Macaca fascicularis: one gene and its partner. The protein of the gene in region 1 interacts with the protein of each later gene in a biochemical or structural test. Links are inferred from orthologs where the notes say so. Each region holds a gene or a part of one and is shown on either strand. Other genes may lie near its edges.

Region 1 (4,850 bases):
AAAAAAAAAAAAAAAAAAAAAAAAAAGCAGACATCTGCCTCGGCCGCAGACCCTGGAATCACGAGCTCCAGGGGTGCAGTGAGAAATGTGCTTGGAGCATCCAGCATCCTCCTCCCTGACCACCTTCCTCTGTTCCGTCTGGACCTGGACTGACTCCTTGAGAGCACTCCTCACCCAGCCTCTCCCCACCCAGCCTTCCCAGATTTATCTTCCTGATGAGACAAATTCTCTTTGGAGCCCTGTGTGTCTTACTATGTGTTCGGTTGAGGGCCTGCCTCGCCCCAGCGCTGTGGGCTGCACGTGGCCTGCACGTGGCCTGGGTGCTCCTCTGCTATCCACAGCCGCAGGAGACGACGCTCAAATATTTGTGGAAGGAATCCGTGAACAGGCAGATGCACATGTAGCCACTTAGAACTTTCTGGCCGTGGCTTTCATCTGTTGACCACATATGGACATTGAAGATGTATCCTCTCCATCCTGTCTACAGCTGCCCCTGCGCCAGGCGAGTTGGCCGGCCGTTGACAGAGGTGGTGGGCGGGAGTGTTGGAGCAGGGCCGCGGCTCAGGCTCCGGGTGCCTCAGTGGCCTGGTCTGGAAGGTGACCATGCACCAAGAATCAAAGAAGATAAGCTCAAAATAGAGTCTCATGGAGTTTCCAGCCAGAATCTCCCCCACTGCCTGCCTTTCTCCAGATGGTGGAAGGCCCCAGGCCTCACAGCAGGACCCCACCACTGCGTTCCCCCAAAGACTCTGGCCACCTCCATCCCAGGCCTGCCAGTCTTGAGCCTCATGGAGTACGTGAGCTGGCCGGGTCATGCGCAGCCCCAGGACATCTATGGGTGGCACTAAGGGCTGAGTCAGCCACCCTTGTCTCCTCTGTGCCCAAGAGCCCGAGTATCAGGCTGGTCTGAGCCCCAAGGCCTAGGGGTGCAAGGACCAGGGGTTGGAGGCTGTGGAGTCCCAAGCCCCCACTGGACTCCCACCTCAGACACTGCTCCTGGTGTTCTCGCCCAGGCCTGAACCCATCCGCACACTTCGCAGTCCTGCTCCTACCCTGTGTCCCCTCTGCGAGCCCCCATGCTCCCCAAATTGGAAACTGGAGGAATTCTGTCTCCACACCCCAGCTAGTGCCATTCCCTGGTGGGTAGCTCATCACCTCTGGTCCCCTGCAGCCCTTGCCCCTTCACCATGGACGCTGGGAGGGCAGAGCCCGCTCCCCTGCTGAGCCCCACCCTGGAACTCCAAGCACCCTGGGTCCTTGCCTCTGCATCTCCCTCAGGGGCAAGGCTTGGGGCCCCTCCTGCCTCCTGACAGGGAGCCCCTTCAGTGCAGGGCCAGGGGGTGGTGGAGGCAAGGGTCCCCAGGGGACCAGATCTGACGTGCGGGGCCTCCACTGGGTCCCCGTTGGCTGTGCTGCTTAGTCCCCGCGCCCTCGCCTCGGCGCAGGCTCCCTCCTGCCACCAGGCATACGGCGAGGCCTGTGGCTCCCACCCCAAGGGTGCGCTCGGCTCTCACCTGAGGGCTCAGCCCAGGTGTCCGGCCCTGGCAGCTCGGCCCTGGGCGCCCTCCGCCGCCAGGCGCTGTCTCCTACTCCAGGCTGTTCTTCCGGCTGCGGGGTTGCGGCCTGGGTCCCATGGCAACGTGGGCGGGTCCTCATTTGAATACGCAAATATTTATAAGCCGCAGGAGGCTCGGGTTCTGAGGGGCTGAGCCACGCCCCTTAGCAACGGTCGCTAGGGCGGGGCCACGTGAGTTGGCACTTGGGTGGGCGATCCCGGGGGAGGTGACGCGCCACCAAGTCGGGTGGGCGCAGGCGCGTCAGGTGCCAGCTCCCTGCGGCTCCGTGCCCGGGCCGTCGCGGTGCACGTGTCGCGTTTCCTCGCGATCCCGGCGCTTCCCACGCGGGGCCGGCAAGGGCGGTCTCTGCTGGAGGCTCCCGCCCACCTTTCCCACGTGGAAGGGTCGCCCCTGGGGTCGAGGCCTGACGCCCTGACCTTCGATTGGAAGTGAGGCCGACAGCAAAAGGAAGCACCGGGGCAAGCGCCCCGGAGGACCAGGAAACACAGACCGGATGCCGAAGCGCGCCCGAGTGCCCGGCCCGTGGGACACGCCGCCGCCCGCCGTTCAGTCGCCGCCTCTCACCTGCGTTCATGCGCGTCCGCCCCGAGCCGGGCTCTGACTGCGACCGCGCGGTGGATGGACGGCAGGCGGGACCCCCGGGACCGCACGTGGGTGGAGCCCCGGGTCAGCGGCGACCGGCGCAGGAGGGCGTGGCGGCGGGGCGGGCACTGGGTTGGGCAGAGGCAGGGTTTGCCTGACCGTAAAACGCCTTTTTTTCTTTTAAACGCCTTTTTTTTGAGACGAAGTTGCGCTCTGTCACCCAGGCCGGAGTGCAGTGGCGCGATCTCGGCTCACCGCAACATTCGCCACCCGGGTTCCAGCGATTCTCCTGCCTCAGCCTCCTGAGTAGTTGGGCCTACAGGCTCGCGCCACTGCAGCCGACTAATTTTTTGCATTTTTAGTAGAGACGGGATTTCATCATGTTGGCCAGGCCGGTCTTGAACTCCTGACCTCAAGTAATCCACCGGCCTAGGCCTCCCAAAGTGCTGGGATTATAGGCGTGAGCCACCGCGGCCGGCCCCTTTTGCTTTTTTTTTTTTTTTTTTTTTTTTTTTTTTAGACGGAGTCTCGCTCTGCCACCCAGGCTGGAGTGCAGTGGCCGGATCTCAGCTCACTGCAAGCTCCGCCTCCCGGGTTCACGCCATTCTCCTGCCTCAGCCTCCCAAGTAGCTGGGACTACAGGCGCCCGCCACCTCGCCCGGCTAGTTTTTTGTATTTTTTAGTAGAGACGGGGTTTCACCGTGTCAGCCAGGATGGCCCTTTTGCTTTTTAATGAGAATGTATTTCTGATTCCTTTGCAATTTAAAAAAATGTTAAAAAAAAAAAAAAAAACACGTCTTTTGGGGTTTGAAAGAGCTAGGATGTGGTCTTTGTGCTTGGGGTGAGCCCTGGGCACTTCGCTCTCCTGTGGCAACCTGTAGGTACCGTTTAACTGCACCACGCTGAGCTTCTGCATGGTTGGAACCTCAAGTCTGGGGGGACTGAGCGGGCAGGGTCGCCTGCCACGCAGGCCCAAGTAAGAGAAGTGGTGGAGGGGGCGTTCTCACGCCTGGCCCCAGGGAGCACGGCTGCGCCCGCCGCTCGAAACCCCACCGGAGCTGCAAGGCGTCCTCGGGGTGGGCTGAGGTGGGAGTAGGGGAGCTGGGGTGCGTGTGGTAGGTGGGGTGCGCGGAGGAGGCGGGGTGCGCACCGTCCGGGTGCGGGGCCACTCCACCTGCGCGGAAGGGGAGCCGGGCAACCGGACCCCGCGGCCACCCGGGGGCCCCCAGCTCCGAGCGGCCCGCCTTGGTCCCGACGGATCCCAGCCTTTCCTCAGCCGGAGCCCCGGGACCTCCGCGGTGGGCGACGCCGCGCTGCGGACGCAGGGAGGGCCTCGAGTGCACGGGCGCCGCTGAGTCGGGTTCTCTCGCCGGCCTGTTCCCGGGAGAGTCCACGGCCCTGCTCGGATATGCCGCCGCAGGCCCCCAGACACCTGCTCCCTCGCCCTCCTTGAGCAACCCCGAGCTTGCCTCCGCTCGCCGGCCTAGCCCAACCCCCCGAGGCCGCGGCCCTTCTGGCTCCGCCTCCCGCGTTGCTCCCGGAAGCCCTGCCCGACCGCGGCTCCTGACAGACGGGCCGCTCAGCCAACCGGGGCGGGGCGGGGCCTGGTGTAGCGAGGCCAATGGTAGGTCGCGCAGGGCTGACGGACGGGCGCGGGGTGGGGCGTGCGCGAGCCCGGCCGAGTCTCCGCCGCCCGCTCCCTGCGCCTGCAGCCCCAGCCGCACCCGCCGCGGACGGAGCCCATGCGCGGGGAGAACCGCGCGCCCCCGCCCCCGCCCCCCCCTGGCCTCGGCCCCGGCCCCGGGGGCAGTCGCGCCACTGAGCGGTGAGTGCGGGCCGGGGTCGGCCGGGCCGCGCGCCCTCCCCGCCCCCAGGCGGCAGCCATACGCGCGGCGCGGGCCGGGGGCGCGGGACCGGCGGGCGTGAGCGGCTGCGGCGGCGGTAGTGGGTGGGTGGGGCCGGGCCGGGCCGGGCGGGGCCCCCAGGCACAGGTGAGCGGGCGTCGGGGGCTGCGGCTGGCGGGGGCGGGCTGAGGCCCCTTAGTCCCTGGGGCCTGCGGGAATCCGGGCCCCGCCCGTGGCCTCGCTCTGGGCACGGTCCTCACGCCGGCGTCCCCGGGAGCCTCGGGCCCGGCGCCCTCATAACCAGGCGCGTCTGGGCGGAGGCGGCCGCGGCCACGGCACGCCCGGGCACCCCCGATTCAGCATCACAGGTCGCGGACGAGGCCGGGGGCCTCAGCCCCAGGGCCCTTCCCCTCTCCGGGTCTCCCGCGCCGCCTCTCGGCCCCTTCCTGTGGCTCAGCCCCTGCTTCCCAGGAGCCCCTCTGTCTTTTCCAGCTTTCTGTGGCTGAAAGATGCCCCCGGTTCCCCGCCGGGGGCGCGGGGCGCTGCCCGGGTCTGCCCTCCCCTCAGCGGCGCCTAGCACGCAGTAGGCGCTCAGCAAATACTTGTCGGAGGCACCAGCGCCACGGGGCCTGCAGGCTGGCACTGGCCTGCCCGGGCACGCCGTGGCGCGCTCCGCCGTGGCCAGACCTGTTTAGGAGGACGGTAACCTCAGCCCTCGGGCGCCTCCCTTTAGTCTTTCTGCCGACCCAGCAGCTTCTAATTTGGTTGAGAGCGCTCAGCTGTCAGCCCTGCCTTTGGAGGCTGGCTCCCTTTTCCCCTCACTGGGTCCTTAACAGCAAGTGGGGGC
Region 2 (4,966 bases), on another chromosome or scaffold:
AACCCTGTCTGTATGAAAAATACAAAACTAGCTGTGCATGGTGGCGGGTGCCTGTAATCCCAGCTCCTCGAGAGGCTGAGGCAGGAGAATCACATGAACCCAAGAGGCGGAGACTGCAGTGAGCCGAGATCACACCACTGCACTCCAGCCTGAGTGACAGAGCGAGACTCTGTCTAAAAAACAATCAAAAACAGCATTTATCACATACAGCTGGTTATTAAAATACTGATTTTAGAAATTAGAAATTCAGGGAAGTAAAATGAAAGCCAGTATAGCTTCTCTACCCAGCTGCAACTTACCACCATAATTTTTGTGAAGTAGGCCCTTCTAGTCGTGTGCACATGGGGGTCTGGTTCTGAAAGGATGACCTGCCACCTCACTCCAGTCACAGTGGAAGCGTTTTCCGTGGGTGTCTGAGGATTGGCACTTGGGAAGGGGGCAAGATGTGCTCGTGGAATGTGCTGTCTGGTCCCGCCCTCTCAGTTTACAGATGGAGAAACTGAGGCCCAATGGTACGGACCAGTGGGGAGGTTGGCATGGCCAGGGCTGCTGGCAGCGATTGCTGGCCTCCCTGAGGACTGAGGGCTGAGGCCGGGGCAGGCGCAGTTCATCCACTCTCCTGGCCCTGCTGTTAAGCCCCAGGTTGTCTTCCTTCCTCACTGGCTTCCAGAAAGAGTAGTTGAGGATCTCCCTGTCCCTGCTTCCCCTTCAGCCCCAGCAGCCCCACTCCACCCTGAGACCAGGGATGTCCAAGCGACAAGCAGCCCCAGCTAACAGGCCCCGCAGCCATGTGATCTGCCCAGCATTGTCACTCTTGATGCCTTCCTCTTCAGTTGCCTCTCAGCCCCAACCTTGGCGCCTCCCGCTCTCCCCCACCTCCCTGACTTCCCCTCCTCTGAGGGTGTCTGTAAGGCTGAAAGGGGATAGTATGGGGCTTTACCCCCAAAATGGTAGGGCCCCACTCTTTCCCCCACTGCACACACAGCCCCACACTCAGGATTTCCAATTGCACTGACATGGTCACTGAACACATAGTCAGCCTCTCCAAACTCCGCATGAGCCTGTAGTCAGGTGCAGGTGCTGAGTGCTTTATGTCCCTCACGTAATGTCATCCTCCCCGCAGTTGTTTGAGGAAGTCATTTTCACTACCCAGATTTTGCAGATGAAGAAACAGTGAGGTTCAGAGGGGTTAAGCAACTTGTGGAAGGCCACAGAGCTGGGGAGAGGCTTTGCTGGAATTCGGGGTTGGCGACACCAGGGCAGCTTCCCCACACATCATAAGCACGTACAGATTTCAGACCTACACAACCCACGCACTGCAGCAGCGTAACACGCAGACGGTGCCTAAGCGGGGTACCCAAGGCCCGACGACACACGTGACAACAGGCCCTTTAGGGAGACCCAGCCAACGCGCGCCCCTCGACCTCCCCGGCCCCGCCCTCTTTGTTCAGACTCCGCCCCTCCAGGCTCCCGGGTCTGACCTCGGCGAGGGCGGGGCCGCGGGCGCGCGCACGCACGCACGCGTCCCTGGGCCTCTCCGGTCCCGCCCCTCCCTGGCCCCGCCCTCCTCACCCCTCCGGCTCCGCCCCCAGCCTGACATCAGCAGGGGCCGGGCCGCGGGCTCACAGCGGAGGCAAAGCCCAGTCGCGCGGGCTGCGCCGCCGCCCCCGCCGCGCGCCGGGCCGGCCCCGCGCCCGCGCTGCCCCGGGTCCCGCGGCCCGGCCCCTGCCACGAGCCTTCCATGGTGCAGCGCATGTGGGCCGAGGCGGCCGGGCCTGTTGGCGGCGCCGAGCCGCTGTTTCCGGGCTCCCGGCGGAGCCGCAGCGTGTGGGACGCCGTGCGCCTGGAGGTGGGCGTCCCCGACAGCTGCCCGGTGGTGCTGCACAGCTTCACGCAGCTCGACCCCGACCTGCCGCGCCCGGAGGTGGGTGAGCTGGGGCGGTCGGGTGGGGGATGCGTCGGAGTCTCCCCACCCACGGCAGAGCTGGGCAGGCCGGGGCGAGCCCTGGACGGGGCCGGGCTATCCTAGCGGGCCGCCTCTCTCCTCCCTCCTCCGTAGGTGGGGGTCGGGGCCTTCTGCAGAAATCAGCCAGCAGGGTGGGCCAGGGGGCTGCCGCCCCGCCCCGTCCAACAGTAGGGACCACGGCTGGGATTTTGCCCCCCTCAATACCGTCCCAGGTCCTGCTGTCACCGAGTCCCCGCAACCCAGGTGGACCTTTTCCTGCGGCATTGTCACTGTTTACATCGGTGGCCTGTGCCTTATTTCACCCAGTTGCCCACCCAGGGCCTGCACCACGTCGTTAGCCTTTCCAATGCAGGTGTGGAACAAGTGGTCGGGAGGGCCGAATCCTAGAATCCTCAGAGGTGATGAGACCATAGGGGCCTTCCAGACAGACCCTACTTGGGGCAGATGTGGATCTGGTGACCAGGGACAGCGGGGCGGGTTTGGGGGGAGGGTCGCGGAATGAGGCGGAGCAGCAGGCCTCCAACACGTGGGACCAGATGTCCTGGTGGTGAGCGGAGGAGGGTAGCCCAGGCCCAGAGCGGGCGAGACTTGTTTCTGCTTAACTGGAAAGAGTGCCAGCACCCTGAATCTGTAAGGACTGGGTAGGATTCAGAGAAGGAAGTGGTGTACGTGTGATGGATGAATGGGAGGGTGACCAGGTGAGGGCTGGGGCTTGTTTCTCGTGTGCCCTGGGTCTCTGGGTGGTGCCATCTGCCTCCCACCTGACTGCACAGCTGGAGTGGAGAGGGCCTCTCTGTATTCACAGGGAGCATCTCCCTTCAGCCTCCGTCTTCCCACTGTTTGATCTCTTGATCGCACTGTGTGCAGGTCTTTGGTTTAATTCAGAGACGCCCCCCTCGCCCTGCTCTGCCTGGGTACAGGGCCTGCACAGAGGCCATCCCTGGATCAGGGGCTCAGGGCCCATCAGAGCTCTGGCCGGGCTGCAGCCTTCACAGTGAACCTCCTGAGTCCCCGTGCTGCATCGTGTCGCCTTGGTGCATCTCCAGTCCCTTCATGGCTTTAGACTGTGGCGTGTTGTGATTGCTGGCGATTGTTAGCCTGAGTCTCGTGCCTCTTGGTGTCCTGGTACCTAGACAGGGCCTGGATGAGACTTGTTTCTCCGCCCAGTGTTGGGAAGAGCTCTTGGTGGGGGAACACCCCACGCCTGAGAGACCCTTTCCTCCTGAGCTTGGCAGATGGCCGGACCAGACGTGTTCCCTCAACCCTCATCTACCCAGGGCTCTGGTCCTCATTGGCGGCTGGAGAGGGACCCCTGGGAGGGTGGGGGTGGGAGTGGGAGGCTGACAGCAGCCCAGCGCTCATCTGGCTTTCATTACCTCTGGCAGCAGCTCGGCCTTTGTGTGCTGGGAGGGTCTGGCGGAGCGCTCACAGGGGCCGTGCAGGTTCGCTCTCTCCGTCCCTGAGGAACCAAGGGAGAGGCAGAGCTGAGCCCCACCCCTGCCTGGGATCTTGCCTTCCCTCTCTGGCCCTGGCCCTCCTGGCCCAGCCTCAGCTCTGAGATCCAGCCTGTGGCTGCTATTTAAAAATCAAAGGGGAAACTTCTGGCTGGGTCAGGAAAACCAGGATCCTGGCAGGAGAGGAGGCCACTGCCGGAAACTGAACACAATGACCATTTACCAAGGGCCCAAGGGAGGGGGCGGGGAAGTCCCTGTCCCTCCTGCCAGCACCCCCTATCCTGGGGCTGGTTTCCTGGTGGCTATGTGGCCTGCCAGAGCTGACGCTGCGCACTTGGTCCCTGTCCTCTGGAAACCACCAGACAGTTTTTCTGCCTTCCCCCACACCCCTGTTTCCCTACCTAGCTTCCACCCGGTGCTTCCCTCTGGGCTGCCAGATGTTCTCACATCTGGGCTTCCGCTTATCTTCTCGGTTCTAAGGCAAGCCACCACCGACCCAGCTTGGCCTGCACAGTTCTTGCTTTCTGGAGGTGACCTGGTTGGTGCCCCCATCTCTGGACAGGCGGTTGCTTTGGCCTGGCAAAAAGTGCAGGTTGTGGGCCACCCCCTCACTTCATCTGCCTTAGACCAACCCTACAGAGTAGGTGCCAACACCACCTTCTAGGAAGCTGGGGGGTCAGAGAAGGGAAGTCTCCGACCTAAACCCCCGTGCAGCCAACAAGGGCCACAGCCGGGATTTGAGCATGGGCTATGTTCTCTGTGGCACCTGCTGTGTGCAGGAGCCGTCAGGAATCAGAGAAGGCCCAGGCAGCCCAGATGCCCCGAGCAGTAGGGAAGCTTATGGCTCAGAGGAAGGCAAAAGTGCTTTGGGCCACAGGACGCCGGGGAGAGCTACCCGGAGGAAGCAAGCCCAGAACTAGACCCCGCAGGTTTAAAATGACAGCTAATAGGAGCCAGCAGGTTTTGGGGAGGTTCTGAGCTAAGTAATTTGCATCACCTCCTTTTGGGGTCAAGACTGGTAAGAGCCCATTTGACAGATAAAGCCACTGAGGCAACAGAGGCTAATTCGATTGTGCAGAGTGACCAAGCTGGTCAGTGGCAGGGGCAGGATTCTGACCCAACTGCCTGAGGGCAGTTGTAGGTGGGCTGGAGTGGAGAGGGCCTCTCTGTATTCACAGGGAGCATCTCCCTTCAGCCTCCCGCGTCTTCCCACTGTTTGATCTCTTGATCACACTGTGTGCAGGTCTTTGGTTTAATCGCCAGGGCTCATGAGCACTTTGACGCTGAAGACCCGAGCCAAGGAGCCTGTCCCTGTGTGGGTGTGTGTCCCTGCGTGCATGTGTGCAGACTGGTCTTCCAGGAGAGCTTCCTAGGTGACTCCGAAGGGGCAGCCCCCAGGACCCTCAGGTTCCCCTCTTGCTGTACTCCTCGGGAGGGTCCCCCAGGAGAAGAGGGCGACAAGGCTGGCTGGTCCTGGGTCTTTGTTTCTTCTCCAGGTGGGGGATGCTCAGGCATGCTGGCCTGTTTCCCAGGAAGCTCAGGAATG

Evidence for each region. The genes of interacting proteins can lie anywhere in the genome.
Region 2: the proteins of HRAS (region 1) and RALGDS form a complex in vitro, tested with the Homo sapiens proteins (4 studies listed by BioGRID and IntAct, with this or other methods). The link is inferred for Macaca fascicularis from reciprocal best matches to the Homo sapiens genes HRAS and RALGDS.

What each region holds. Positions count from the first base shown.
Region 1 is NC_088388.1:433,260-438,109, reverse strand, and holds the start of HRAS (GTPase HRas), read left to right. Parts: upstream 1-1,810; 5' UTR 1,811-2,227; exon of another isoform or gene 2,228-2,243; intron 2,244-3,839; exon of another isoform or gene 3,840-3,984; intron 3,985-4,850. UniProt on the Homo sapiens protein: Involved in the activation of Ras protein signal transduction. Ras proteins bind GDP/GTP and possess intrinsic GTPase activity.
Region 2 is NC_088389.1:10,646,766-10,651,731, forward strand, and holds the start of RALGDS (ral guanine nucleotide dissociation stimulator), read left to right. Parts: upstream 1-1,626; 5' UTR 1,627-1,741; coding exon 1,742-1,924; intron 1,925-2,828; exon of another isoform or gene 2,829-4,966. UniProt on the Homo sapiens protein: Functions as a guanine nucleotide exchange factor (GEF) activating either RalA or RalB GTPases and plays an important role in intracellular transport. Interacts and acts as an effector molecule for R-Ras, H-Ras, K-Ras, and Rap.